Arabidopsis thaliana: one gene and its partners. The protein of the gene in region 4 purifies or fractionates together with the protein of the main gene of each other region. This does not show direct contact. Each region holds a gene or a part of one and is shown on either strand. Other genes may lie near its edges.

The links.
Region 1: the proteins of GTB1 (region 4) and AT4G32175 fractionate together in Arabidopsis thaliana (co-fractionation; one large-scale study listed by BioGRID). This does not show direct contact.
Region 2: the proteins of GTB1 (region 4) and AT2G25355 fractionate together in Arabidopsis thaliana (co-fractionation; one large-scale study listed by BioGRID). This does not show direct contact.
Region 3: the proteins of GTB1 (region 4) and MCM3 fractionate together in Arabidopsis thaliana (co-fractionation; one large-scale study listed by BioGRID). This does not show direct contact.

Annotation. Positions count from the first base shown.
Region 1 is NC_003075.7:15,532,840-15,539,829, reverse strand, and holds AT4G32175 (PNAS-3-like protein), read right to left. Parts: upstream 4,397-6,990; 5' UTR 4,276-4,396; coding exon 4,225-4,275; intron 4,142-4,224; coding exon 4,067-4,141; intron 3,931-4,066; coding exon 3,844-3,930; intron 3,469-3,843; coding exon 3,412-3,468; intron 3,031-3,411; coding exon 2,938-3,030; intron 2,828-2,937; coding exon 2,755-2,827; intron 2,671-2,754; coding exon 2,595-2,670; intron 2,507-2,594; coding exon 2,293-2,506; 3' UTR 2,228-2,292; downstream 1-2,227. Other genes in the region: PANK2 (pantothenate kinase 2), read left to right, coding at 1-12, 105-153, 271-353, 506-622, 693-756, 875-1,021, 1,115-1,273, 1,401-1,484 and 3 more; CYP96A2 (cytochrome P450, family 96, subfamily A, polypeptide 2), read right to left, coding at 4,538-6,058; AT4G32160 (Phox (PX) domain-containing protein), read right to left, coding at 6,938-6,990.
Region 2 is NC_003071.7:10,797,780-10,805,454, reverse strand, and holds AT2G25355 (PNAS-3-like protein), read right to left. Parts: upstream 4,365-7,675; 5' UTR 4,065-4,364; coding exon 4,014-4,064; intron 3,922-4,013; coding exon 3,847-3,921; intron 3,606-3,846; coding exon 3,519-3,605; intron 3,323-3,518; coding exon 3,266-3,322; intron 2,922-3,265; coding exon 2,829-2,921; intron 2,518-2,828; coding exon 2,445-2,517; intron 2,326-2,444; coding exon 2,250-2,325; intron 2,161-2,249; coding exon 2,070-2,160; intron 1,987-2,069; coding exon 1,864-1,986; 3' UTR 1,733-1,863; downstream 1-1,732. Other genes in the region: AT2G25360 (RING/U-box superfamily protein), read right to left, coding at 1-141, 226-950, 1,117-1,206; AT2G25350 (Phox (PX) domain-containing protein), read right to left, coding at 4,757-5,098, 5,222-5,464, 5,585-5,749, 5,867-6,627, 6,757-6,865, 7,045-7,131, 7,249-7,347, 7,485-7,595.
Region 3 is NC_003076.8:18,768,218-18,776,914, forward strand, and holds MCM3 (Minichromosome maintenance (MCM2/3/5) family protein), read right to left. Parts: upstream 5,487-8,697; 5' UTR 5,390-5,486; coding exon 5,327-5,389; intron 5,232-5,326; coding exon 5,131-5,231; intron 4,943-5,130; coding exon 4,734-4,942; intron 4,635-4,733; coding exon 4,504-4,634; intron 4,412-4,503; coding exon 4,173-4,411; intron 4,099-4,172; coding exon 3,862-4,098; intron 3,761-3,861; coding exon 3,606-3,760; intron 3,493-3,605; coding exon 3,284-3,492; intron 3,200-3,283; coding exon 3,040-3,199; intron 2,954-3,039; coding exon 2,757-2,953; coding exon of another isoform or gene 2,745-2,756; exon of another isoform or gene 2,674-2,744; coding exon 2,614-2,673; exon of another isoform or gene 2,527-2,613; coding exon 2,437-2,526; coding exon of another isoform or gene 2,425-2,436; exon of another isoform or gene 2,345-2,424; coding exon 2,142-2,344; coding exon of another isoform or gene 2,138-2,141; exon of another isoform or gene 2,052-2,137; coding exon 1,832-2,051; intron 1,742-1,831; coding exon 1,685-1,741; 3' UTR 1,432-1,684; downstream 1-1,431. Other genes in the region: AT5G46270 (Disease resistance protein (TIR-NBS-LRR class) family), read right to left, coding at 1-80, 167-645, 862-873; KASI (3-ketoacyl-acyl carrier protein synthase I), read right to left, coding at 6,222-6,289, 6,372-6,438, 6,510-6,659, 6,759-6,872, 6,982-7,155, 7,425-7,856, 7,948-8,412.
Region 4 is NC_003070.9:24,309,097-24,316,294, forward strand, and holds the start of GTB1 (global transcription factor group B1), read right to left. Parts: upstream 5,544-7,198; 5' UTR 5,436-5,543; exon of another isoform or gene 5,363-5,435; intron 5,283-5,362; 5' UTR 5,232-5,282; coding exon 5,201-5,231; intron 5,077-5,200; coding exon 4,984-5,076; intron 4,773-4,983; coding exon of another isoform or gene 4,731-4,772; intron 4,469-4,730; coding exon 4,339-4,468; intron 4,101-4,338; coding exon 4,037-4,100; intron 3,933-4,036; coding exon 3,782-3,932; intron 3,704-3,781; coding exon 3,583-3,703; intron 3,500-3,582; coding exon 3,262-3,499; intron 3,164-3,261; coding exon 2,975-3,163; intron 2,901-2,974; coding exon 2,793-2,900; intron 2,701-2,792; coding exon 2,314-2,700; intron 2,241-2,313; coding exon 2,133-2,240; intron 2,027-2,132; coding exon 1,247-2,026; intron 865-1,246; coding exon 1-864. Other genes in the region: GLC (HXXXD-type acyl-transferase family protein), read left to right, coding at 6,779-7,198. UniProt on the Arabidopsis thaliana protein: Transcription elongation factor that enhances the transcription elongation by RNA polymerase II (RNAPII).

The DNA of each region.
Region 1 (6,990 bases), on a different chromosome or scaffold from region 4:
AGGCGAACGAGAGTGAGTTATAAGTCGATGCTGATCTTCCAAACACTGGTTTTATTTGATGAAGTCACTTTTTCTTATATTGTTTATTTTCTGGTGGGGTATAGGTACTGGCTCAAAGTTTTGTCCGAGCATTTGCCAGACCTCGTTGATACGGTAACTGTTAAAGTTAACACATAGGATTTCTTTTCCATCTTCAGTAATGTTACTTTTTGGGTGGTGAAGATTCTTTAAGGCCTGGTACGTACTATTATTCTATGGACATGATTATAGGCTGTAGCAAGTGAAGGAGGAACCGAGGATGCGAAAAGGCGGGGTGATGCTTTTGCTCGTGCTTTTTCTGCTCATTTGGCAAGGTTTGGTTCATCACAACAGATACCTCTCTGTCAAGTCAAGGCTGTGCAATTTTGACCACAATCTATCAAACAGAAAATTCATAGTACAGCGCTTCAAGAAAAGCTTGTTTTTTCTGTGCTTTGCCTTTCACTGACAATTTTTTTGGTTGTAGATTAATGGAGGAGCCAGCTGCATATGGAAAGCTGGGGCTGGCAAATCTCTTGGAACTTAGGGAAGAATGCTTAAGAGAATTCCAGTTTGTTGATGCCTATAGAAGCATCAAGCAAAGGTAAAAGATAGTCTTATCTCTCCCCTGCTTTGAGTTGCTCTTATGCTCTCTCTTTCTTCGAAATTGATAGGGAGAACGAGGCATCACTTGCTGTTTTACCTGATTTACTTGAGGAGCTTGATTCGATGAGCGAGGTCTGTGACCTTTAACCTTCCTCTCTTTGTAGGTTTATGGTTTGCTACTAAACGTTTCAGTGCTATACATGAGACAACTTTTCTTACTTGGTGTTTCAATTGTGCTCGGATTTTTCAGGAGGCAAGGTTGCTTACACTTATAGAAGGTGTTCTTGCTGCAAACATATTTGACTGGGGATCTCGAGCATGTGTGGATCTATATCACAAAGGAACCATTATTGAAATATACAGAATGAGTCGCAACAAGATGCAGAGACCGTGGAGGGTGAGAGACAAGACCACCCTTTTTCCCCGCTGAGGTTACTTTTTCCTAACTGTTAATTTGAAGCTGGAAATCTTTTTTGGTCCGTAAAATCAGGTAGACGATTTTGATGCTTTCAAAGAAAGGATGCTTGGATCTGGAGGTAAGCAGCCTCATCGACATAAAAGAGCATTACTTTTTGTTGATAACTCGGGAGCAGATGTCATTCTTGGGATGCTTCCTCTTGCTCGAGAGTTTCTCCGTCGAGGGACTGAAGTACGTGTCTCTCTCTAGCTCTTCCTATAGTAATCTTCTCTTCACAAAATCAAATGCACAGACCAAATGATTTCATTGTGAAATTAGTTGAGGAAACACTAAACAAAATGTTATTATGATTCCCCAGGTTGTTCTAGTGGCAAACTCTCTTCCTGCTCTTAACGACGTGACCGCTATGGAACTGCCTGATATAGTCGCTGGGGCTGCTAAGGTTTAACTTTCGATTCTGTGCAGTGTTTATGATGTTCTTTCATGTAACTAACTCTTTTGTTCGGTCTTTACTCTTGAAGCACTGTGACATCTTGAGGAGAGCGGCAGAAATGGGAGGCTTACTTGTGGATGCGATGGTAAATCCAGGGGATGGATCAAAGAAGGATTCAACGTCAGCACCATTGATGGTTGTTGAAAATGGATGTGGAAGTCCTTGTATCGACCTCAGACAAGTCAGCTCTGAGCTTGCAGCCGCTGCCAAAGACGCTGATCTTGTATCTACAAAACCTTCTCTGTTTTCTACCTGACATAAACTTCAAACACATCAAAAAAGAGAAGCTTTGTTCTTTATTTGATGTTTAACAATATTGCAGGTTGTCTTGGAAGGTATGGGAAGAGCACTTCACACCAACTTCAACGCTCAATTCCAATGCGAGGCTCTCAAGGTTTAAACCTCACTTGACAGAAAATTTCAGCTCTAGAACTGTTATTGAAACTTTTGGCTGAAACCTTCTCTTCCTTTTTGGCAGCTAGCAATGGTTAAAAATCAGAGATTGGCTGAGAAGTTGATAAAAGGAAACATATATGATTGTGTATGCAGATACGAGCCTCCCTCGCTTTAACAATGTTATGTATCATTTCTTCAACCTTTAGACTACTGTTGTATACAGATTAAGCATTCGTCATGTGGCATATGTATTTTTATTTAGACTACACTTTTACTGTATAAAATTGTATTTGAATGAATCAAAATCACTTGCTATAAAGAGCATCATGAGGGTTCAGTTACATTTCAAGAACAATAACGTTTAGTCTGAAATTATCGCGAGCAATTTCTCAACCATGATTCTCTGCTGAGTCCCACTTAGAGATTCCGAGTTCATTATTGCATTGGCCACGATAATGACTATACGTGGAGCTGTCGCATTTACCCAAACTCTGCCATTTAAGCCCACAGCTATCTCGAACGAGAGTTTCTTTCCAAGAGCCTCAATGACCGGGCGCGTTGGTGAATTCAACAGCCTATAAGAGATGAGAAAGTAAAGTTGTAATGGCGAAAGAAGATAGATAAAGTATAAGGAGACATTTTTTATGAGGAAGTATATCTCACATTCTTGAAAGACCAGTTGAAGTTTCAAACATGAAACCATCTCTCAAGGGTCCAAATAATGCAGCTTTCCCACTAGCTAATACATAGAAACAAGAGACAATTAGTTTAAAAGGGATTAAGAGAAGCAGCACTGTTTTAGCCTCCAAAGCTTTTAACTTACCCTCGGTACAAGACAGCTCCGGATTCATTCCTATGTTTGTCTTGACAACCCGGAGATAAAGCAGAGTGCCTACCTGTTTAGTACACAAAAATTTGAACATTCCAGAAACAATCAATTCATAGAGAATGTCATATCCCAAATGAGAATTCAAGAGAGCTTCCTGAGTCATCAGAATGTACATGCCTCAAACTTGGGAATATTTCTTCGTGTTCCTCCTTCGAATGCAAGAACTGGCAAAAGTGCTAATTGAGGTCCTTTAATGTCCACCCAAAAATTCTGCAATGACATGATGAGTAAAAGAAACAATTCAGTACTTACTAAGGCGATGTTAGTTCATGCAAGAAAGCTTAACTGCAGCTGATAATTTAAAAGTCAATTAACATTTGTTTGTCCAATAATGGTATCAGTTTTCTTCTGATTTTAGACCATAACTTCAATACTCCCACCTATTTATTTACTGATCCAAGACCATCAACAAACAAGTTCACCTTTATTGGCTCAGAGAAATGAGGACTGAAGTCGCGGAAACTGACAAACATATATTTGTATCGTATTTGACAACTAAAGTATAATAAAATGCTTTCAGAGATGACCAGTCTGAGAGGGATCCAAAAACAACACAAGAATCTATACAAGCAATGATTTCAAAGGACTTACATCTGCCCTAGAATCGACCACGATTCCAAGAACATGATCATCAGGGCGAGGTATATACTGCAAAAAAAAAACATAATAACAGAGTCAGCAACAAAGAGAACGAGACTTACATAGATAATTAACAAAACAATATTCTACTAGAGTTTTGAAAACCAAAAATGGTAAATTGTCTTATCAAGCCAGATGTATATGATCAAATAACTAGGGAGAAAACTAGCAAGAATGATCCACAAAAGCATCAAATTGTCAAAATGCTACAAAAGGCAAATCTTCAATTCTTCATGATGCAATTGTGCCAGGTTATTTGTTACTTTTCTACTCATGATTAATCAAGTGGACCTAGTATCCGAGCAGATGACACAGTTATAATCCACAAGAAGCTCAATAGAGAAGCAACCAGAAAGGGAAGATTAGTAAGACCACTGAGCTCACCCGTTTATGAGAACTTTCGAGCCAATACTTATTAGGCTTGGAGTAACTTAATTTGCCAGCTCTCATGGCAGAGATAGCATCATTATCCTAAAATAAGCCAAAAAAACAAACACATGTCAATCTACAATTCCTTTTTAGTTGCAATTGTATATCACAAATCAAGTGCCCACTGGAATAATTGTTAGGATTCAAACAACACATAAGAAAGAGAAGAAGATGAAACCTGAAGAAGGCCACTTCCGAGCTTGATTGTTTGGTTATTCATGTTTGACAAATCAAGAACAACATCACCTGGAACCTAAAAATTGAAAACACCATGCTTCATTGTAACCAAATCGAATCGAAATCATAAAAAAGCCAACTTTTTAGAGATATACGGACCACAATCTGATTTAAGAGGCTTGTGGGAGAGACAGAAACTTTGGCAGCCATGAGTGAGGTGGGTTTTGGAGATAAGAACCCTAATATATGTTAAACTCTGTTAAAGCTTGTTCCTTGACGACGATGAGAACCCAGAAAGGAACAACACTGCACAGTCTCTTCTTTTTTTTGCACGCAAATTTTGAACCAAAACTATACCGAACCAGTCAATATTAGGATTTCGGTTTACTTAAACCGTAAAACTAAAAAAAAAAACTAAGAACCAAATCAAAACCAAACCAAAATGATTTTTTTATTTAATACATGAATAATTTCAAGCAGAACATCTCTTAGTAACAGTGATTTGAAGACCATGTTTCATTGACAATATAAAACCAAGAGCTGGCACAATCTTCTGTCCTTGGAGAACCTTAATGTCGTAGTTTCGTAATATCTCCACTGCCACTATCTTCATTTGAGTCATAGCTAGATGTTTACCTAGACAAGTTCTTGGACCGGCATTAAACGACAAAAACTTGAAGGAAGGCTCATGTTTTATGCCTCCATTCTCCGAAATCCATCTCTCTGGCTTGAACTGCGATGCATCTTCTCCCCAAACCGCTCGCATCCTCCCCAATGCATAAAGACAGATAATAATCTTAGAGTTTGCATCAACTTTATGGCCACTTGGAAGCACATCTGATTTGATTGGAGACTTGCGTCCGAAGGAAACTGGTGGGTAGAGTCTCATTGCTTCACACAACGCACCATGTAAATACACCAACTTGTCTACATTCTCTTGGCTATTTCCTGTTCTTGATAGATCAGTGTTGATGTTGATCTCTTGATGAATCTTGGCTACCACATGTGGATTTTCAGAGAGAAGCCAGAAGAACCAAGAGAGAGCGGTGGCTGTTGTGTCTCTTCCCGCTAGAATGAAAGCTAAGATGTTGTCTCTAAGGAACTTATCGTCACTCGGATTCAAGAGCTTGTACTTGGTCGTGTCTAGCTTTATGAAGGAAGTTAAAAGATCCTGACTTCCTCCATTGGAAGTCCCTTGTGATCTTTTAATCTCTTCTCTCTTGGCTGATATGTATTTGGCACACACGCGGTCAAAAGTTGCATTAGCTTCAGTGAGCTTCTTCTCTTGTCCGAATCCTATCCAGTTTTGCAGCTTCCACAAGAACCTTGGTTTAAAATGCCTATAAAGAATCCCTTCTCCAACATCGTCGAGAGCTTTAGCAAATTCGTCTTCAGGCATTTCAATGGAGAGAGATCTAGGATCAGAACCAGTTACAAGGATGAAAATTGTATCGAAAGTGAACCTCCCGAAGACGCTTTGCAAGTCAAGAGTTGTTCCTTCCTCAGCAAAATGATTAAGAAGGGGAACAAGACCGTACTTGAGTTTACTTGTCATGGTACTCATTGAAAACCTTTGAAACTCTTGACTATGGAGCATGGCTTGATAAGATTTCCTCATATTCTTCCATAGCTCCGAGTCCGTGGTGATGAAACTGTCTCCTAACACATCAAAAACATCTTGGAACTCCGGTCCTTTGATGTAGTTTGAGAAATTTGAGCTCATTATATGATGAATGTTAGCTGGATCAACCGTGAGCAACATATCCATTCCTGTGAACCGCGGTCCTTTGAATGGAAAGGTCAAGTCAGAGGTTTCGAGAATCTTCACGCTGTAGTCGTAGATTCGGTGAAGCGCCTTGAGCATAGCGGGTAGCATCCGGAGAACCGGCCAGTTCCTAGGGTACCGGCCATGAGGTTTCTTGAAGAGAAAGTAATGAAGGATGAGAAAGCAAAGGATAGCTACGGAAACTTGAAGTAAGCTTATTGAAGCCATTGGAGTAAGGCAATTGATAACACACAGTTTGCTGACACAATGAGAACTAAATTTATAAGCATACACTTCAGGGCACAAGTAAGGAGATGCTTTTTAAAATACACACTAAATTTCGTTATATGCACAAACTGCAAAGCACGTTTAATGCATGTATATCATCAAATTAGAAACTTGTATTAAATTGCCAATGACACCTAACTTTTTATTTTTGTGATAATACACCTAAGTGTTTCAATAATTTGAAAACTGTTATAATTGCCCCTTGTAACTTTATCAACTAATCAAAACTTATTGAAACCATTAGAGAATGAGCTGGATTCACGCACATAGACTTTTGAGTGTGCTCTATGAGCGCTAAAGGAAATGTCATTAACTTCTTCATCCTGTCCAAAGATGATGATAAAGGTTTTTAGCATTTAATATTCTCTATCTAGTTTCAGTTTTCTTCCCTCAAAATTGCTTGCTATAAAGAAATGTCTGAAATACCTGGAGAAAGAAGCCACAAATTCTGCTTCAAGAAAGAAACATGCTTTATACTTGAGGACAATGATGATCAATTGACACAATTTGTATAACCTAAATCCTTACAATTCCAACTTTGTTTGCAAGAACTGAGTTCGGATCACAATAAATATATGCAACAGAGTGCAATACAATTATACAACAAACATACTTAATACACATCTTTTTGCCTTATGTACTCTCAAAAGGGTGGTGTCACGTGTGTGTATATATATCGATTACACAACACTCAGCTTCAACTAATTTGCTCCTCCAAGAGACCAACCGTTTTGTATTATAAAGCGACCAGTCCTTTGCTTATAGAGAAAAAAAAATGGCAGTCTATTCTCAGGTCAAAGCGACTATTATTATTATTACCTATCTCTTCAATGTTTCTCTTGATGCTTCATCTTTCTCATCACTATTTTCCT
Region 2 (7,675 bases), on a different chromosome or scaffold from region 4:
TCTACTTCAAAATCATATTCCGGTTCATTATAATCATAATCATCATAATAACCATGTCCCGTTAGTAGGCAACCAGAAGAGCAAGTCTTTTGGTCATTCTTCCATTCAACCTCACATTGGTAACAAAACTGATATCCACATCTACACAATGAATGCACAAAGTTTAACATTACGAAATGAAAGTACTCGAATGATGTAGAATAATCGAGTTAAATAAATATATACCTGCAAGTCATGTGGTTGCAGGCATGAGAAAGTTCGATCATGTGCCTACACATTTTACACTGACGCCATTTTTTGTCCTTTGCTAGAGACTTTAGCTTCAACTCATCAACTAGAGGGTCATGGTGAAGTTTTTTGTACTCAGCACACGACAAATCAGAATGTGATGGTACTTTGCAATCAATGCAGAAGAGTCCACAACATTTGACACAAGAACGGTCATTGGATAGGTCGGATTCACTAGAAAGCTCGGTTTTGGACATTAGCATTGAGCAGTTTGGATATGGGCAATAGATTCTCTCTGCAGCGGGAATCGAGTCCTCTTTCATCTTTTGTTTCCACATCTCAATCAGCTCTAATGTCAAAACCTTGCTACAGCTTTCAAGGGTGAGCTTAAACTTGCATCCATCATCAAGGCATGTGGGCACAGTTCCGCTTAGGAGCTTCACTTCCACATACTGTTTCACACAAGGAAAGCAATGACGGTGAACGCATTTTTCCGTGGTAAAGAACATGCGCTCGCCCTCGGTTTCTTCAAAACAAATGCTACATATCTCTGCCTTCACATCGTCCCTTGAAACTATGGCTTCTCTTGCAAGTTTAAAAGCAAAATTAACATCGTTAAGGGCAATCAAATCAGCGTCAGTATAGGTCATCTCTTCTAGAAGAAGTTGAAATTCGTCCACAAGATGGACAACCTTCTTCTTAATCTTCCCTCGACCAACAATCTGTAATGTAAATCAGAATTCACTCTCATTAAAACCAAGACATTATATCATCATTCCAAAGAATTCAAAGTATATTCTAACATGCAAAATCACCAATCTGGCCTCTAACTATTTCCACACTTCAAGAACTAAACTAAAGCAATAACAAAGAAGAGAAAACACTTACATATTGGTAAAGCAGTTGGTCATCGCAATAAACCACGACTTGTCTGATCCCCAAATCGAAGGATTCTCTTAACCCACGAATCAGTGCCATGCTCTCTACTTCTATGCAGCTAATCTTAGTGTCGCTTAGTGATTCTTTAATCTCATACAACAAATTCTCCTTCTCATCGCAAATCGCAACTCTAATCCAGACTTCACGGTCTTTTCCTTACCTTCCACCACCAAACCCTTGGTGTACAATCTGTAGACGACATTGTCTGAAAACTTCTTCACAGCAGAGTCGGATAGGACGACTGTAGAACAACCCTCGCCTTTAGGGTTTGGGAAATCTCCGGTTATGGTAGAATCTAGTCGCCGTTTTTAGTAACTCAAGTCTTGATCGCGTCTCTCCATGTCGTTTTGGTTTCAAGTAGGAAAATCTGAAGACTTATATATAAGAGAGAAGTTGTCAAATAAATTCTTATTAATTGCTTTGCTATGAAGGCACCGTAATGTTTGTAACTGTTATTGTATTGGTATCGATTGATTTTTCAATTAATATTGCCAAACCCTAGTTCCTCTAATCCATCTCCCAAAACTTATCAATTTATCGTTAGACGAATCATGTTGTTTCTTTTAAATTTTAATCTTGGTTTGTTTTTATCTCAAAGAGAAACATATGAGTGTAGTCTACATACTAAAAAAAGAGATGCGAATTAAAACGTTTCTTTTATAAAGTAGTGATACTGTTAAGCATACAACACACTTTTCAGTCTGAAATTTTCTCCAGCAATTTCTCTACCATGATTCTCTGTTGTGTCCCGCTTAAAGTTTCAGAATTCATCAACGCATTGGCGACGATAATCACTATACGAGGAGCAGCCGCATGCACCTGAAACCAGACAGAAGATATTAACCATGCGATTTCCAGTTGCATTGTTTGGATTCTTAAGAAGCAATCACTGTTTTTCTTACCCAACATCTCCCATTTAAGCCAAACGCAGTCTCAAACGAGAGTTTCTTTCCAAGAGCTTCAAGGACCGGGCAAGTTGGTGAACTCAACAACCTAATAAGAACAAAGTGTAAGAGTGAGAAAAAGTCGAGAAGAGGCCACTTCATCTAGAAGAAAAATAAAGGAATAAGAGTGAAACTCACATTCTAGATAAACCAGTTGAAGTTTCAAACATGAAACCATCTTTTAAGGGACCAAATCCTGCAGCCTTTCCACTTTCTATTACATTGTCCAACAATTCTAGTCAGCAATTGCTTAGTCTAAACAATTAATGCGGAGAAACAAGGAAATGATTTAACTTTTTAAACTTTGTGAGAAAAAAGAATGGATGGACTAACCGTCTACACATGACAGCTCCGGGTTCATTCCTGTGTTTGTCTTCACAACCCGAGTATAAAGCAGAGTGCTTACCTGTATCAACAAATTGTCACAACTCCCAAAAACACGTGATCACTATGTTATCACTTAATACAGCGAATCCACTTGAAATAGAGTTGATGAGCTCAACTCCAGACGAAGTAAAAGTGCCTATTATGCTCATAAACAAACCAATGAAGTACTGGATCCTTTCAATATCACACACAAGCCATTGTAATTTCCAGGGAAATTCTCAATACACTGTAATGGCAATACTAACATCTCAAACAACTGAATGCAGTTACCAGCTAGAGACTATTTTGATGATGGTTCAGATTGAAGAAGTATATTCAGAAGGTACTTGCCTCAAACTTGGGATAATTTCTTCTGTTTGCTCCTTCAAATGCAAGCACAGGCAAAAGAGCCAATTGTGGTCCTTTAATGTCTATCCAATAGTTCTGCAATGAAACATGTGTCAAAACGATTTTCAAAATATTATGATCTACTTTGTTACATGCAACATGACTTTGGCTGAGAACTCTAGGGGCAACACTCTAAATAAAGGCTTATGCCGTTTTCTTTATCCATGATCTCAAGTATTTATTAACATATACATGTAACTAACAAACAAGCTGAGCAATGATAGAAGTTGGATAATGATAGAGCACAACCGAAATCAATATTCTTTATACATGATTTTTGCATTAAATGAACTGTATACAGAGAAAAAATGCTTGATTCAGAGGGTCCAAGGGAAAAGGATCTCTAACAAAAATTTAAGGATCGTCTTTAGAGTACTTACTTCTCCTTTACAATCTACCACAATGCCAAGAACATGATCCTCAGGACGAGGTACATACTGCAAAAAAAACATAATAACAGAGTCAAAATCGAGTAACATGGAGTAATTCTTCAAACTAGAGAGCAAAACCACCACTTTTTCGACAAGTTAAGCGCAGATGAACAATCGAATAACTAGTAGAGCTAGGAGATATCAGGAAAAAGGTACCAATTTATTGCAAAATACAACCAGCAAGAAACTAATTAGTTCTCACCCTTTTATGAGAACTTTCCACCCAATACTTATTTGGCTTAGAGTACCTCAACTTCCCAGCTCTCATAACAGATATCACCTCATTATCCTGAAAAAACCTCAAAATCATATGTCAATCTTCTAGCCTTGCAAGCCCAACAAAAAGCAAACTGTAGATTCCAAATTAAGTTTATTCCTCAAATGCCAATGCAAGATCCAAAATTCAACATAACTTGTTTAATAATGAGCAAAACATTCATTAATTCATTCATACACTCAACACAACAAATTTCAAACTCCAAAAAAATGATCGAAGATTTGGAACAAGTGATTTTGAGAAAGTTAAAAACCTGACGGAGACCACTGCCGAGTTTGATTGTTTGGTTAGTCATGTTTGATAAATCGAGAACAACATCACCTGGAACCTGAAACCCATCTCACAAAACTTAATCTTTCAATGTAATCCCAATCTAAAACGATAATCAAAGAAGCAGAGGTTTTAGTAGAAAATACGCACAACAGTCTGATCAATGAGGCTTGTCGGCGAGGTAGAAACTTCAGTACCCATCTTTCTTATTTCTTCGCTAACAACACCAATTGATTTATCCAATGAAGGGAGACAGAGCAAAAGCAGAACTGAGAGGTAGAGAGAAAGAAGAACCCTAAAAAACACTAAAACCCTAAAGTTTTTTGCTTTGGTGATGTTGAAGACGATCGGAAATTAAAAACTCCGAACCAAGTAATTTACTATAATGGTTATGAGTGGTTTATTTCGGTTTAGTAGATCCATATGATTTGGTCAACTAAAAAGTCTCCTTCGTCCTTCCTTTTTTTTTGGGACAAAATGACACTTCTTTCACTGATTTTCAACGACTGCTCTGTGGACCATGAGTGATGGATGGTAGTTGTTTTTGGTGAACAAGAAACAATGACACTGATGGTTTCGAATTTTACAATGGATTAGGTGATCTGATGTAGACATGTGTGTGCATATACATCAATTAATTACATAAAGAAGAATCTGACTCGCATATTCAAAATAAGGGATTTACGTCACTAACCAACTTTCTGCTCTACTTTTCTCTGTACATGGTATATCTATTCTATAAGCTCTTCACCTTCTGCGTTTTTCGTTTTCCTCTTTCACAGAGCTCTTAACCTGCATTGCGGAATTCAAATGTTTTCTCAATTTGATATTCTCCTCAGTCCTCATACATATCTGCCATTATCTTCCTCAGCTCATCCTCAGAAGCAGTCTCATCAAACCCTAACAGCAGTTGCGCCTGAAAATATGCCACTTTCAAATTTAAAACGAGGAATCCAGCTTGGCGATTTTGAGCCATGGTTATCGAATGTAAACATTTGAATACGATTTTTCTTGCTACAGATATTAAAGGAGATGCACCAATAGCTTACCTCAATCTGATCTTGCAAGGCATTTGATACTTCAGATAAGTCTTCTCTGTTGTTACTGGACTCATCCATTGACAAGTTTGTGTTGTTCACTTTAAGCCTGTCGTGGAGAATTTCACAGTCACTATACAGCCTTCTTCTTGCTTCTAGCGTGTTCTCGACTATTATCCTTTCCTGTTGGAGGAGTTTCTGAAAAAATTAAACATGTTTCAGTATGTTTTGATGTTCTTTCTGTAGGATCATATACATTTACCACAAGCGGATGATGCAAGCAATAATATAATGCTTTTTATTTACAAGCTTAAGATTTACCTCAGTGTCAGACTTCTCTGTCAGCGATCGAGTCAGTTCCTTTTCCATTTCCATATGTGAACGTCTCAGGGATTTGACCTCTCTGACAAGCACTTTTATGTCTGCCTTTGATTTTGCCTCCAGTTCAACATACCGTCTAGAAAGATCTTCCAGTTGCTGTTTTGTGGCATCCATTTCTTGTAACAGCTCATGGCTCTCAGAGATTGTTGAGTTTCCTGACGTCTTAGAATCTGAACTCCCATCCTGTATTAGTTTGCAGGTGTCAGTAAGTTACTTTGCTAGATATAAATTACTCGCTCGATGTGAACTTGCTTAATTGTGGAAAGAATGTGATTGAGATGGAACTATTTCAAATTTCAATACCTCTTTTGACTTTAACTTCAGTTCCATCTCAAAAGTTTTTTGCCTGAGTTCTTCCATATCCCACTGCATCTTGGTAACACTCTGTCTCTCGGTCATCAAAGCTTGCTCCAAATTCTCTTTGTTTCTCTGTTTAGTAGTTTCAAGTTCCACTTCCAGATCATCAACCTGAACAGGAAAACCAAGATTACATATATGACATTCGCATGAAGAGTAAAGGAAGAAGCGCAGATTTCATTACCAACAAACTTGAAAACAGATGTACTATTATTTTCAATCATGTACCTTTCTGTTCAGATATTCCTTCACCGCTGTCTCTTGATTTAGTCTCGCTATAAGATCCTCCATGTCTGTTTTTGAATTGAGAAGTCTCTCATTCATAGTTAATAGAATCCTATTTAATTTACTATGCATTTTCAGCGGGAGAACTATTCGTCCATTACCCGGTATCTCCAGGTTACCAACAGATATATCATGATTAACATCCAGCTGGCTATGTACAATGGAGCTCAAGATACTAGAGGTTGATGTCTCACCGGCTAGTAACGAAACCCCGTCAGCGCTCTCAAGAGAAAGCTTTCGATCATGCATCACTGAGTGACTAGTTTCTGATTCAGAGCGACACCGTAAGTCGTTGTTTGCTCGAAATACACCTTTAGAAGCTTTTCCATTGTACGAATTCGTCTCTGTGATATCATTGGCATATCCTAAATGGACTCTGTGCTTAGGAAAATCTTCTAGCTGCTCGATAATAGTTTGACTCATACTCAGTCCCTCGTCAATGTTGGACATGCTAAACTTTACAAGCTTCTCTGTTGGATTTGTCAGATCTTCATCCAAAGTTAGATCTCCAGTATCAGTTTCAGAAACATCATCCTGACCTAAACTTGCTGATCCGAGCTCAGATGTTTCATAAGCAGTATCGCTGCCATAGTCAGATGAGAGCAAAGAACTGCCACCAGAATTTGGGTGAACTAGAGACGACAAGCTTGTGCTATTTCCATCATCATTGGAATCGGAAGCATTCTGATCTACAACTTGGCATGCTGGAACAAAAAAAAATTCAACTTTAAATTATAGTGAAAGACTAAGCACATTTACTTAAACATAGATTAACTAACTGCCTTTAAGAATCTTTATCAAACGGTAACTGTAATACTATAATGGGCTCATACCAGACCTAGCAGTAGCTTCTAGTTCGAGGAAGGATGCAACTACAACACTTCTTGCCAATTCTATATCAGATAACAACTTCGTCATCCAATCCTCCAGAGAGCACCTTCTCTGCAACAACACCACATCTTTAAAATGAGTGTAATATAATTCTTGAGTACAGTACTTTACATATACTTCTACATGAAACCTGCGTCAAAATGTTCTTGATTGAGGAACCACAAAAGCAGGAAAGCGTGAAAGAGAGAAAATTTGAAAAGAACAACATAGCTCCACAAGAGAATGCATACCTCTTCTAACATATCTCTACTTTTGACACGCAAAAATCCTTTAGGAGGAGCTGATGGAAAACTTTTCCTAGGAAATGCTCTTTTGAGCTGTAAATCATATGCCATAAAACACATTGCAGTTAACTTGTTTGAATCACACTGACCAAAAACAACTACAAATCATGTTGAATATCATTGAGTTGAGAAAGATTGAGAGAATCTTACATCAGCTAAAAGCTTTACAAAATCATTAAATCTCCTCAGAATTCCTCGCATTGTGCTAACACCTTCTGGAGATTGCACACTTACCTGAACCCTGTAAAACTGTACCTCAAGAATGTCACATATATCGAGCAAGAGTTCCTTGGAATAGTTCACGAAAATACACAACTTCGATAAGAACAACAACTAGCTATAGAAAAATCTACACTGTGTAGAGAGAGAGATCGAAACTTATTTACCACTATAGGATCTGAATTTTTCGATTTTGAAAGAAGTGTCCACGATGGTATAGTGACACAATAACTCCATCCAGTTCGAAAATCATGAGGCCAAATTGTATCTCTACCATTCTGCACAAAACTTCAAACTTAGTAGTCCCTTAAAACTCTTGCCTCTTCATATAGCAAAATCATTCACACATCAAATTGTG
Region 3 (8,697 bases), on a different chromosome or scaffold from region 4:
CAAAGTCCTTGGGTGTAGTTAAAAGCAGTTTAGCCAAAACATCATTGGCTATTTCTTCAATCATTTTTGCTTCGTCATCCCTAATAAGGTTAAGGACAATTTTAAAGAATATGACATAATTTTATCTCAAGATGTATCTAATAATGAGTTAGTATAAAAACCATACCATGTCGCAGAATCAAATCCAAGCATATTAGCTACATCAGTCAACGCTTTCTTCCATTGGTTTTTCACTTGCTCTGTTTGTCTCTTGCAAGTCTTTTCAAAGATCTTTCCAAAGTCACCGATTTGATGCCTCACTTGGGAAGGATCCACTCCGTAGAAAACTGGTATGACAATTTTATCATTGCAATTCACAATCTCCAGCAACTCGTTAAGACACCAGCTCGATGAAGCGTAGTTTTTGGAGAAAATGACCACTGCGATTCTGGAATCCTTGATGGCTTGTTCAAGATCGGGCCAGAGAGAGTGGCTTCTCTCGATCTCATTGTCTCTGAATGCAGTGATCAGTTTCCGATCAAGCTCTTTGAGAAAGTGGCTACGGAATGTTACGCGGACGTCTCCCCCTCTGAAGCTCAAGAAAACATCATATAACCAGTTTCGAGAAGAAGATGAAGAAGCCATAGAGAGAATGAGAGGAGGAAACTATGAACAAAGACTTTGGAGATTAAGATTGTAATCGTACGTCTTGGTGATTTAATTATATAAAAATATTAAACACGGCCACAAAAGTCTTCACTAATCAGTTTCACTATTGTTTCAGACACAACTTGACGGATATTTCCAATTTGATGTCTTAATCATCTTTTGTACAAGGTCATAAGCAAATGTTTCATAGCCTCTAATGTCTTATCCCCTTACATTACTACACATACGTCTCACTTTATGATTACTTTAAGAATTTAGAATTCTTAGAGTGGAGACAAGTTTCTCTTGCTCATGGCCTTAACATTTCTGAGAAGCTCTGGTCTGAATCAGAGACATGTATGGCCTAACTACGTAAGTTTATTTAGTAACTCAATTGTTTTGACTAGGGTTGATAGAGAAACGTGTGCAGTAACCTACCAAAATAGATTTTGTTATTTGGCAACAAAAAAAAAAATAGATTTTGTTGTATTACTCTGTATACCAAAACTGATTTCAATCCGTCTTTGTGGAATTTAACCTGATTATATGTACAATTTTAGAAACGTATAGGATCCATCATGGACAAAGCAAACATGTTTTGGAAAAAAAAAAAAAAAGTAATAGAGACCAAATGGAAAAACATGGATCTTTTAGACGAGAGAGTTCCAAGGTAGTGATTATTAGGGTTTTGAAGTTGGCTTATATATGGCACAACTCTATTCTTACCATTGGGTTAAAACAACATATACACTATAATCTTGATGTCGATTACATATGTATAAAATTTGGCATAAACAGCTCAAGAAATTATAGGATAAATATGAAAGTATTTTATTCTCGGATTGTGCTTTTCGTTATAAATTCCAAATTTTATAATCAGATGCGTTTTTTTAAGCATTTTATCATCAGTTTTACTTCACTAGTAAATGCAAAAAACATAACGTATGAATAAAGATTTTACAAAATGATATTTTGGTTTCCAAGAGTTTACTACTACACTATTTTTGAGTTCTAATATGATGATGATGATGCAATCAATATTGATTTCTTCATATGATCAAATGATATGAACTTTGCCATCGCTGATCATCACTTTGTTATCATCTTGCAGTTTCTGCATAAAATCCACAATAGAGTAAAGTTATGAAGATATTGTATAAAAAGTTAAAGAATGAGAAAGCTTGTCTCTTAATTTGTGAATTACCTCTAAGAGAGCCATAATCTCATCTGCAGAGTAACGAGATGCTCCAACCCCATTGTTGTTGACAACAGTCTCTATATCTGCAATAGAGATGTCATCGAGCCTGTGTGTCCTCATGTGCTGCCCAAACACTCGCTCAAAGGTTTCAATCCTTGCTGCAGAGACCGTGCCGCTGAATTGCTCTACAGAAGGTTCATCTACTTCCATTGGATCTGCTGTTTCACTGAATGGACCAGCAAAAGAGAAAGAAAAAAGTATAAGGGTTGAGAAAGCTGTGATATAGGTTTCCATGGAGGAGATCAAATTAGTTTACCTGTCGACATTTGCAGTGTCATTCTCTGCTCCATCTTCATTATTCCTGCGTTGGTTGCCTCTACGTCCACTTGGTGTTCTTTCTTGTTCAGCTTGTTCCCTTTGACGTTCTTCTTGCTCACGATCATCCATCTCAGTTAATTCTTGATGATATATTGCAAAGTTCATAAGCTTCAAGGCAGCCTCTGCATCAGCTTTAGTAACCTTTCAAAATAAAGTTATCACTTTAGAAAGAATCTGAATAGAACATATTCACGACCAGGTGGGGAAACAGAAGATTTGAGTTAGATTGTTACCTCGCTACTCAACTTCATTTTGGCATGTGCCGTAGCAAGACGAATTATTGTCTCTAGAGTTCTGGCTGTTATCGGAAGCGTACCTCCAGTCTGCAGAGATTTCGATGGTTGTGTCAAATACAAGTTCCCAAGACGAAAAAGATACAGTGTCCAATGTTATTTTATGAAATAAATTACCTTAGTATCGGAACCTGCATTTCTGAGATCTGCATATGCTTCTGCAATACGTTCCGATGCCTGCAAATTTAATAACAAAAGAGATTTAGTGGAAGAGATTATCAGATACATAAAAATTTATATATTTGAGTTCACTGTCTCACTTCATCAGTGAGCTTTGGTGTAATACGGTGCTTGGCGTAATGAATGTACTTCTTCAAGAACTTAATCGTAAGGGTTTTATCATGTGTTTGGCCTCTTTTCTTCTTCCCATGTAGTGTTTGGTTATACTTAACAAACATTTCACTCTCAGCATTGTCTTCTCTCGCGTAAGGCAAGCTCCCATCTGGCCCTGCCTCACCTATGGTTCACTCAAAAGTCAGATGCGTTTCAAGACATGGGTTGTGAAATGTTTAGTAAAACATAGAAGCATGATTTGTTTCCTACCTCTATCGTTCTTGTAACGATGCATGCGCAAGACATGTTCTGAAATCATGCTGTCGATACCAGCATCCATTTGATCCAACACAATAAACAGTAGATCAAAACGAGAAAGCAGCGAATCTGGAAGTCCAATGTTCTTTGTTGGAGTCAGTGATCTGTCATACTGCAGGAGCAAGAGTAGGTATTAGGACAAAAAAATACTAGTCAGTAGAGTAAGTAGATTAGGAAAACTTCGGTGAGAACTTACAGTTCCGTATATGGGATTTGCAGCTGCAACCACACTGCATCTAGCATTCAGTGATGCATGGATACCGGCTTTTGCAATTGTTACAGTCTGTTGCTCCATCACTTCGTGTATAGCAACTCGGTCCTGATCATTCATCTTATCAAACTCGTCAATGCACACGATACCTTTATCAGCGAGGACCATTGCACCAGCTTCTAGTCTTCGTTCCCCTGATGAAAATGAGAATTTGATTTTAATGAGAAATAGCACTTTTGACCTTCCTTCAAATTTTGATTTTAGCATTTGATAAAAAAATGTGGAAACGCTTTTGTGTGCTTTTTACCTGTTTCTTGGTCAGAAGTCACAGCAGCAGTTAACCCAACACCGGAAGAACCACGGCCTGTGGTTGATATAGCCAAAGGTGCAATATTCATTATCGCTCTCAGAAGTTGAGATTTGGCAACAGATGGATCACCAACCATCATCATGTTGATGTCTCTGAAAGCACAAGATTTGTTTTCAAGTGAAGAAAGAAAAATGAGTTAGACAAAAAGTATCCAATGAGTCGAATCTGAAATCTGTTTTCAAGCAAGACTTACCCCCTCAAGTGGGTTCCGTTCTTCAGGTTCTTTTCAACACCACCAAGCATCAGTAAAACTACTGCTTTCTTTATCCAAGCGTGCCCATAAATAGAAGGTGCTAAGGAACGAGCAAGGAGATCAAATGCATCATCTCTTCGTGCAATATTTTTAATGTTATCTAGGTCTTGCTTAGTGTATATAGGTGCATTTGCTTCTTTATTGAGCAGAGCGATATTATTGGCTATGAGGATAGTCCTACACAGAAAGAACTCGGTCAAGACTATCAGAGTGAAAACATCTTGAACTAACAGATGTGTAAGAAAACGCACCTAAAGACTCCATTTACACTACCCTTGCTTTTTCCAGGAAGAGCTTTGTAAATACCGAAAACAGATACTCGATCTCCTGGCTTGCATGAGTCAACAAGGTCATCCTCAGCAATGACATCAACGCTTCGTGGAAGCTGACCAGGAGCAGCATTTTCAGGCACTTCTTGAATTGACAAGGTCTGGTGATCTTTGTATTTGCACAGCCCATACTCAGTCACCAATAAGTTTCCCTTATCATCCTGAACAAAAAAAAACTCAATCTTCAGTAAGAGGCAAATCTTCCAGCAGTACAGGTAAATGAACAAAACGAAAACAAAAAACATGTAATTACCCTTGTGGGATAGACAGAGCCAGTGGGTAAACCAGCGTGAGATGTTATGTCTCGATAATCTCGATTGGTAAATTCACCGGTTGATGGACAAAAGTGAACGCTTTTAACAACCTTTGGCCTCACAAGAGAGCCTGAAAGCAAAGCATGTGTCAGAGGTTCAAAATCTTCTACGTAAAACACAAAGGAAACAGAAGAAAAGCAGAGGAATAGAGTGAAAATGATGAGCTTACATTTGGTGACAATGCCCTCAACACAGACCATAGATCCAATAAAATCAGAGAGAAGCTCTCTAGGAGTAACAACGCGAGAAACAAAATAACCTTCAAAACCAACAAGGACAAGCTCTCCTTCCTTCAAGTATTTAGGGTCAATAGCACGAGTAGCTTCAGTGGCTGCGTCACAAAATGACTGCATATACTCATTTGGATTCTTCAGTATCCTATCCAAAAAAACCAAAGCAATCAACTTTAAGGTCACAAAACATATGACAATTGTAGTGAATCCTTAAAAATCCCCAAATTAACCTCACTGAATCTAACAAAACCCTAAAATCTGCCGTAAATTCATAACCTTATACTAAAGAACCGATTAAAAATTCGAGGAAGACAAATTGAGAAGATGACGAACCTAGAGGCAACTTCCCTGAAGTGGTGGTGAATGTCAGAGATATTAATAATGAGACGGTGACGCTTTTGATGTACCAAAGCCTTGATTTCCTCCATATACATCTACACAATCCGTAAAAAAAATCCAATTTTTCAAATTAGATAAGAACAGAAGCTCGAGAAATGTCTGGTGAGAAAAGTGATAGAAATCGACTTACACTATCGAGGAACTGGATAAAATCTCGCTTGTGGCGAAGCCTCGTCTCCTCTGGCACATCCATTTCTTAACAAAATCTGGGTTCTTCGTAAGAACTTTTCTTCTTCTACTTAAAAAAAAAAAACTGATTAGAGATTTTCGATTTCCGATTTCGAGAGGCATAAAGGGCGGATCTTCTCCTTATGGCGGGATTTCGTGAGATAACCTGTACCCTTTTTGGCGGGAAGGGTCATTTTGGGCCGATATTAGTTGGGCCTTTCGTCTACGTGCTTTTTGATTAACCAAATTTGGGCCGGTACAATTTTGGACTTACGTCTACGCGCTTGTTTGGCGCGTTTGATTTCCTCAAGGCGGTATAATACACCCAGATTCTAAACCAAAAACCAGACATACCAAATCAATTCATTGTAAATTCGGTTTAACTTTTGCTACTGCCTTCAAGCCAGTAAACCGAAAAATGTATATATGAAAACCAAAATAAACCTGTGTGATTTGAGAACATTTTCGGATGTATCACAACATATGTATAACTGAAAAAAAATTCAGTATAAATCTAATTTCTTCGAATGTAAAAACACGACAAGAATTGTTGAGAAATAAAAGATGAGAATCCCCTAATTGGATTATTCTGACAATAACACCGTTACTACAAGATTCTCTCAGTTTCTGTTTTTATAAATTACGCAAATATGGAACGAACTAAGATACACAACATTCCGCAGACAAGAGAGAGAACAAACAAAATCTGAAATCTCAGCAACCGTAAGAAACGGGGAATGAAAGAACCGCAAAAGGCCAGAGGAAGAGCTCCAACTTGTGAACCAAGAAGCTGCAAGTGGTGGTGATGGATGATGATAGTAACCGATAGGGCAGAGAATCTAAAAGGTATGAAGAAATCAGGGTTTGAAGGCAGAGAAGGCGACTACCGAGTTGTGTCCACCGAACCCGAACGAGTTTGATATGGCTGCAGCAAAACAGAAAGACATTAATCAGTGAAACTGTTGCCAGTTTAATCCAATGAGAAGGCGGTCATGTTTGTCACTTACCAACATCAACCTCGTGTTGCTTCTTCTCGTTTGGGACCGTGTCAAAGTCCACAGCTTGTTCTGGGTTCTACAATGAGAAAACAAAGAGTGTGAGAGTCTAATACAATGACCAAGTTCAAATCTTGCAACAGTTCAAACTGAAAGCGGAATCAAAGAAGCCTTTTCTTGACTTCCTGTTATACGTACAAATTGGTTGATGGAAGGATGCAGCCATCCAGTGTTGATAGCCTTCACGGTGGCGATGGCTTCTAGACCTCCAGCTGCACCGAGGCAGTGACCTATCATAGACTGTAACAGAAACTGTCATTCACAGGAAATGCAAAGCAAACAAATACATTGAAATAGAGGAGAAGAAGAACACTCAATCATAGAGCATTGGGGACGAACCTTGGTGGCGTTGATTTTGATCCCTGAAGTGCTCTTGAATACCTTTTTAATGGCATTAATCTCAGCAAGATCACCAGCAAGAGTGGAAGTTGCATGTGCATTGATGTAATTTACCTGAAAAACGTGGAATGAATATAAGTAGGGAAGTAACACGAATCTAATGAAGAAATTTGTTTCAGATAGCCTTAAAACTTAGGAAGCATGAAAAGTTTGTGTTTTTTACCTCCTCAGGTGATACACCAGCATCTTCCAGGCATCTTTCAATGCATGAAGAAACCCCAAGACCATCAGCTCTTGGATCAGTCATATGGTGAGCATCACAATTAACAGCACCTCCAAGATATTCTGCTACAATTGGAGCACCACGTTTCATTGCATGTTCCAAGCTTTCCATCACCTATTAGGGCATACAACAATTAGTGGGTCTCTCCAAAACAAAATGTCACATGTATGAGCCAATCTCATGGTGAGATAAACCAACTTTGAAAATGTAGTACAATTCAAGTGCAAGGAAACTTCCAGAGCTAATAGACTAGGGAACACAAGTTTCATCAGATTCTATAAACTAAGACCAAAACAGGCTCTTATATACAATTCAAAACAGAGCAAGCCAAATGTATGTAGATTCATAGTATCAATGAGAGATTAAGAATTTGTGAAACATACCAGAACACCAGCTCCTTCACCCATAACAAACCCATCTCTTGCTTTATCCCACGGCCTGGAAGCAGTTTGAGGGTCATCATTTCTCTGGGACAATGCCCTACAAGCAACAAAACCTCCCAACCCAATAGGAATAATAGCAGCCTCAGTCCCACCAGCAATCATCATATCAGCTTCACCACGACGAATGTGATTCGCAGCAGCGTAAAAGCAGTAATTCGAAGTAGCACAAGCAGTTGAAATCGAATAGTTAGGACCCATAAGACCAAGATCAATCGCCAACAAAGCAGAACCCATATTTGTTATAGCATAAGGTATAAAAAATGGACTAATCCTCCTATGACCCTTCTCAATCAAATTCTGAACACCTTCTGAAAACACAGTTAAACCTCCCATTCCAGTCCCAACTAGTACTCCAGCTTTCCTCTTATCAATCTGCAACAAACCCAATAACCAAAAATCAAAACTTTGACTCCTAAACTCTTCAAAATCAAAACTTTATGATCAATTTCAATTCAAATGTTACCGTGTTAAGCTTATCACCACCAAGATTGGCACTTTCAAGAGCTTTTTTACCAGCAACAATGCAATATTTCAAACAATCATCAAGCCTACGCTCATTCTTGCCATCAATATAACCTTCAGAGCTAAACCCACGGATCTGACCACCGAATCGAGTAGGGAACTTGGAAGCATCGAAACGATCAATCAAACTGATTCCACTCTCACCAGACAACAATTTCTCGTAGTAAGCATCAACATCGTTACCAAACACAGAGACGAGACCCATACCAGTAATGACAACTCGTTTCTTCGGATCTGTTTCGCGTTTAGGAGCGGAGACAGTGGATGCTGATGCGGAGATGAAGGAACGTTGTTGTCTTCGCAAAGGTCTCGCATTGGTAATTAGCTGATGTGATTGACGATTTGATGGTAAGCGAAGTGGGTTTGGAGGAGAAGCACGGAGAGATGAAGATTGAAGAGCTTGCATGGTGGATCCAGAAATTGAGAGAGGTATTGAGAGAGAGAGGAAGGCGATAAGTACGATGTTGTGAAAATGGTGTGTGATGTGTGTTTTGCGAAAAGAGCTTATGTTCGTCAGATTTCAGGAGCAAGACTATATTATAAAAAAAACAGCGAATTATTCGAGGAAATTTTTGGACTGTAATTTTTCTCTAAGTCCCTTAATTTTACAAGTGTTTTAGTTCTAGCCTTGTAGTTTATGTTATTCTACTATTTGGTCTACTTAAAATAGGTACGGATGCTTTGAGCCATT
Region 4 (7,198 bases):
TTCTTCATCTGGACTTGGCTCTTTAAATGGTATCCGCCAATCCTGGAAACCACAACTTAATTCTCTTATGATATTGCTATAAGTTTCCTTCTTATTCTCCCGTTTCTTGCTGGCAAGATATTCATCAAGGACAACTTTTCTCAAAGAAGCTGGCCGATCTCTCACATGCTCAATAGCCATTTCTATCGCATCCTCATCATCATTTGAATCACCTCTGACATCCTCATCATATATATCTTTCGCCAATTCTTGAGCAAGACTATACGACTCTGGATGGATTCTGGTGTCATCCAATAAGTCAATAAATTGACTGCTACTAGCAGCCAGCCCACTTCTGCGGATGCGCAAGAAACCGGCAGCATTTACAAAAACCTTTTTACCAAGTCCATGCATTATCAGGTCCTTGCGGACAAAGATTGAACCAGCTCTTACAAGCGACCTCTGCAAGGATGCAGCTTTCCGAGGCCCAAGTCCAGAAATGAACTGTAAAGGAGAAAAGAACCAATCATGGCTAGCTGCCAAGTTAATATCGATTCCAACCTGGTTTGTAATGTCAACCATAACCTGCTCAACCATTCCATACTTCTCATCTAGCTGAAGAAAATTCTCCAAGGGATGAAGCTTCCAAGACAAAATTTCCCGACCTGGACCGCATAAAGTTGCCACCATTGCTAGTGGATTCTGGAGATAGCGTCCAAGAGCAACTGCACGTCTCACGTTCCCTGACTGCTGAGGTAGCTGTTCACCCGAGATTCGAGAATTTTCATATAGCCTAGGAAGTGATTCATCCACATAAACAATGCTTAAATCATCCATCCCATGTCCGACATCTCTAGGTTTTTCCTCCACCATCTGGAATATGACCTGATATATAGAATAAAGCATAACAAAATTTTACTATTCAAGAGGAGTAGTTATGAAAATTGAAACACAGCGATTAAGTTTTCACAAAGTGATATAAAAGCAGAAACTTAAGCTTATTTCATCAGATATATAACATTATCATTTTCGGTAAAGCAGTTGAAGTCTAAAAAGGTATAGCGAGTTTGAAAGTATTGATGAAAAACACACAAAATCCAGGTCTCTACAAAGTAGGCACTGAGGAACTAATTAAGTAAACCAGTGACCACAGTTATCCAGAACCATATGGATATAGGTCCTTTATCTCAAGATCAAACTCGGAACATGTACATTGCAATAGCATAAGTCAACGAACATAGTGTCATTATGGTATATGAAGTCTTACCTCATAAATATCATCCTTCAGACGAGTACAAGACAAATTGACAGCTCCTAAAGCCACAACATGCGGTTGGTGGTCCATCATAAACTTTAAAACACGATCCTGGTCACTCTTTTTACGTTGCTGGTCGTTAACATTTTGAGATCGCGATGTAAGGGATCCAGCATAAAGCACGTCAAGCACCTCACCTGATGAGTCCAGCATCACAAATGTATTTGGTGGCTTCCCAGGTCCCCAACAACATGCCATGACCCTCGGTGCAGCTTCCTCATCTAAATTAATGTCCATTTCTTTCTTTTGGTATGGCCCTGCAGACACCTTGTTCCACAAAGCCTGTCCATACTCTGAAAGCAACCGACTCTTCGCTCTGCTAGTTAGCAAGGATCTTGCTTCTTTCTCCATTGATGGCAAAAGAAAAGCATGAAGTGCATCCTCCAATATCAACTTTCTTTGCTCATTCCAGAGTTGAGCATACTTACTAACACCAACACTTAGATAGTGTTCATTGCAGTCGCTAATTAGCCTATTCATGTAATTCTCAGGCAGCTTGAAGGTTACTTGAAGAAGTTTCTCCTCTTCTCCCTTCTGAATGAGAAGCCATTGTGCACCCTCAAACTTGCTCAATGGCTTTTCACGCAACCACTTAATCCCAGAAAACTGATGGAACGAATCAATTACTGTATTTCCATCTGCTGTTGGACTTGTTGAGACCACTGCATTCTCCATATAAATGCCACGGACATACTTTTTGACTGATGGCTCGCAACTTATCTCAACTGCAGCCTAACAAGGAAAAATGGGATATCTCCGCATTAGTGATTAGGGAAGTCCTTCTGATATTAAACCCAGCTAAGCAATTCAAAAAATAGTATTATTGCAGAGTATATACCATATGCCGTGCACCTTTCAGAACTGCCAGAGAATTTTCAAACATTGCGCACACAAAGTTTTTAGCCATCTCCTCTGGTGTTTCCTTTGCATCCTCAAGCTCATCAACCTGCAACTCATTTAGCGTCAGAACTGCCATTCCAGTACAACATGCAAATCAAACAATATAAAAGCATACCGACCAGTTTTTCTAGGGACAATGCAAGTCCCAGTTGCTCAGCACTATACCCAAATTTGTTTGCAACCTCCCAGAGCCCTGCTTTACTGCAGATGCTATATTGTGATTTCCTTTTCGGCCTCTTATACTGCCCTTCATCAACACCAATTTCACCGGGAGGAAAATGCAAGTTGAACTTGGAATCTACATCATCAACTTCTCTTTCTGTTTCTGCAACTTTAAGAGACTTAATGACTGATTCAAAAAGATACTGATTTAGATTAAGTCTTGTTTCATCATAGACCCTCCTAGACTCTTCTTCGTAACGTTTTGTATAGTAACCATGCAACGCCATTTTCCTTTTTCGAAGAAGGAGCCACTTCTTATCCAAGTCATGAATCATCCAGAAGACCTGCATTGGAAAATAGTATAGAATCCACCAAATTTCCTCTGACAATAAATGTTAACCTGAGCACTTGTTGTTTATCCAAGATAATTGCTTACCTTATGCCACTTGGTCTCAGGTTTCTTGCCTTGATTGGCGCCATCAAAATCACCAGTGTCCAACAAGCTCCGGCATTGCTCCTTTCGGTACATAGCTATAAACGGTATCTAGAAGAGACAGAAAACATTAGCAAGCTAATCAATGAATCAAAGAAAATCCAACGAGAGAATGAATCCAAAACCTCTAATTTCTGCACATGATGTAGCTCCAAAAATTTTGCGATGTCATCCTTATTAACCGAGAAACCCCGCCCATCAAAAGTTCCATCAGATTCTCTAAGTTGGGAAGCAAGTTGAGCATATATCCAATTGCTTTCTTCTTCAATGCTAATTTCATCTACAGGAGGGCTTCCGGTGCTTTCTTCAGATATCTGTCAAAGTTTACAAGATATCTTTACATCTATCCTTGAACACCAAAGAAAACATAGACCACAAGTATACATAGAGAAAACTAAAGAAGATAATGCACCTGCATTCTCTCAGGAATATCAAGCTGGCGGATTTCATCATCATTCCCTGTCATATATTTCTCAGAAAGAACAGTTGGTTCAAACTCATCTTCGAGCCTTCTTTCCATCCTTTGATTAGATGCCAAACCCTTTTTGCGAATTGTTAATAATTCGTCAACATCACCAAATATTTCATTAGCATCTCGCATAGCAGTAATATCTGATCCCTGCCTATATTTCTTTTTCTTCGAGTTGCCCCTGAAAAGTAAGTTGATTAGAATCAGAAAATGTACATGACATAAGTGATATGTTAGGGCACAAAAAAGACAGAAAAAAAATACCTCTTAGGAGGACCATGCTCATCATCTTCATCTACAATAAAATCTGCCATTTCATCCTCGCTCCCAACTACATCTTCTTCCACAACTAAGTCTTCCTCATCACCTACATCATCAGGTGGATCTAGTAGACACAAAATGTACATAGTCAACTATGTGCCAACAGTCAACATAATAGTATCAGAAGGCACAGAGAACCTACCATCAACATCAACATCATCAAACAGCCTGTCTTTGATCTTATCCTCAGCACTTCTCCTAGTTCCACCTCTACTATCAAACTCATCATCGGATGATTCTCCCTGGCCATTTCCCTGTTCCCTTTGAGCTTTCTTCAACCGCTTATACTGCCTCTGTCATGGTTCAAGAAAAAAGTCAAATGTATTAGTACTGCACATATATTTTTAGTGTATCTACAAAATCCTGATGTATTGTTATATACACAAATATGACTAACCTTTTTGAATTTGACGTTGTTATCTTGTAGAAGCAAATAATCATCTTCATCAAGACCTTCGTCCCTATTAAAATTATCATAAATGGAAGGTTAGTCAGAAAGAGAACAGACCTGCTATAGTTCGTCTAATGGTAACTTACATACTCATCACAAACAATGTATGAAAATCACAAATAAAGACTGCTGAGAATTAAGGGAACATTTCTTCAAAAGTATCATGCATGTCAACACTAACATTTAGTTTTTCATATGTTAGAAAAGGATAAAATCTAAGAGAATGAGTAAGGATATAAAATATTCACTTTTTCTTTCGTTTCTTCTTCTTTTTCTGCCTCTCCTCATCGCTATCTTTCCTTTCTTCGTCTTCTTCCTCTTCTTCCTCTTCGTCTTCATCATTCACTATGAACCCATCATTCTCATACTCATTCCCAACTACAAAACAGATATACGGATCCCACATCATGGAACAAAAATAGCCTGAATCTAAGTTAAAAAGCCTAGAAAGAAAAAGAAAAAAAAATACTCAAACCCAAGGTGAGAGAAATGTGTGCAGCTCAAAACTTGCAGAAACCATGAAGTCTAAAAAGGAACAAATCAAGCAACCGTATGAAACAGAGAATATAGAAACAAGAAGTGGTAGAAGGAGAGACTTTGCAGCAGATAAGTAAACATCTAAGAAACAAGATGCATTCACTTTTTTTTTTTTTTTGGTTGCCAAATCCAGACACTGCATCTTCTAATGGAGCAAATGCAGCAGAATTTCTCCAAATGAATCGATTTTAAGACAAAGAACTGCATGCGCTTCAGTACTAAACCAAACCATACCACTAATTTCCTTCGATGCAATCAGACTCTACAGCTTCCAGATTTAGGGTGGTAAGCAAAAAGAAACGAAAGACGACACATTTCTCACTGGGAGAAGTCAAAATCAAGGAAAAAACTTATACCGTCATCATCATCTTCTTCATCATCGTTTTCATCATGCTCAGCTGGATCTCCATGAACTGGCTCTCCGTCGTCATCCTCAAGCTCATGATCCTCTACGCAAAAGAGAAAAGGATTCAATTTTTTCATACAAATCAGAAGAAATAAACAAAACCCTAGTATTATTACGGCGTTTCACACAGAAAAAAATTAGGGTTTGCGACGAAGCGATTAAGGTACCTTCATCGTCAGAGATTGCGTTCCTCGCCATGTTTATCTCAACAAATTAGAAGTACGATAACGCAGAAATTAGCCCTGCAAACTGCAAAAAAAAACGAAGAGATTGTGATTATGATTTCTGATTTTGCGAAGAGAAAGGGGGAAGAAGGTTCTCGCGATTACTAGGGTTCTTCGAAAAGAGAACCCAGAAGGAGCTAGAGAAGAGAAATGGGTTTGGTAAAGGAAGAAGCTTTACCAGTGTGAATTTTTCATAAGCGAAAGGCGACGAAGAACTGATAAACGAAGAAGAAGACGGAGACGATGAAATTACAAGTTTATACTGACAGATTTGCCTCAATTTTTTCTCTGCGTTTTAGAAATATTTTTTTTTTAATAATGTTTTTAAAAATTATTATACTTTTTGAAGAAATGTAAAGAAAAAAAAGTCGAGACTAAAAACAAAACAAAGTTTATTCAACTTATCTTATAATTAGAGTGGAGAATATTTAATTCGATAATTCGAAATATAAGAAAATAGACATACATTAATAATTAATAAAAAAACGTTACATCGGCTAAAATGTTTAAACAATTATTTAAATTTATATGATAAATAAAATTAAAATAAATCTAAATCGGATTCAAATTTAAAAGTTTGTCTATAGATTAATTTAATTTTTAGTTAAACAATTTAATTTTATCAAAAATATAAAATTTTAAACTGTGAAAAAGTTTTAAATCTTATAATTGATATATTTAAAATTAAATAACAAGTTGATAATAATATAAACATTTGGACATATATAAAAATAAATATAACACTAGACAAATTATATTGTAGGACAAATTTTACACATGAGGCCCTAAAAACTTTTTATATTAGGTGGCCTAAAACAAATGTTTCGGCTTTTTTATGAACGGGCCGGGCTTGGATTCGGCCATATTTTGAGTTCATGCCTTTTAATATGGCAAGAAAAAGGTTAGAAACTAGACTAATTGTAGATTGTAAGTTTGTAACCGTAATGAGATACTGCAAATGGGTAAAAATCGTATTATTCCATAAACCACAAATGGAGAAGTCAAAGTTTGGCAAATATCACAACAAAAAGGTTGATATATCACATGCATATTATGTAGCTACACCGACATATCAAAGTTCTCCTATCAAATTTTAAAAAACATAAATCACCAACCCTACTCACACCCACCAATGCAGCCCATCATTCTTCCCAAATCTATAAACACAACACAATAATACAACAGTGACAATTTTAGCTTTTAAAGAATAACGTTTTCATGTGACTGGATAAAAACGACGTCTACGTAGCACGAAACTGCTTTGTTTGTTCTTGTAACGATCCGTACCATATCTTTTTTTATTAAAAAGTCACATTTATTATGGGATCAATAATTTACTCTCCATGGATTATTTCATACTATAATGTACACGTACATTATCATAAAGCCAAGATAAAATTAAAAACGCCTTTTACTACGTGTTAGTCTATATAATATAGATTAAGTCTGAAACCCAAATCACAAACTTCACTCAAAACCTAATTAACTTAGAGAGAAAGAGAGAGAGAGAAGGGTTGCAAAATGGGTTCTTCGTACCAAGAATCTCCACCGTTGCTTCTTGAAGATCTTAAGGTTACGATCAAAGAATCAACACTCATTTTCCCATCTGAAGAAACCAGCGAGAGAAAATCCATGTTCTTATCCAACGTCGACCAAATTCTCAACTTTGACGTTCAAACAGTTCATTTCTTCCGACCTAACAAGGAGTTTCCACCGGAGATGGTCTCGGAGAAGCTGAGAAAGGCGTTGGTGAAACTCATGGACGCTTATGAGTTCTTGGCCGGGAGACTCCGCGTGGATCCTAGCTCTGGACGGCTTGATGTTGACTGTAACGGTGCTGGAGCTGGCTTTGTGACGGCGGCGAGTGACTACACGTTGGAGGAACTTGGAGATTTGGTTTATCCAAATCCAGCTTTTGCTCAATTGGTTACAAGTCAGCTT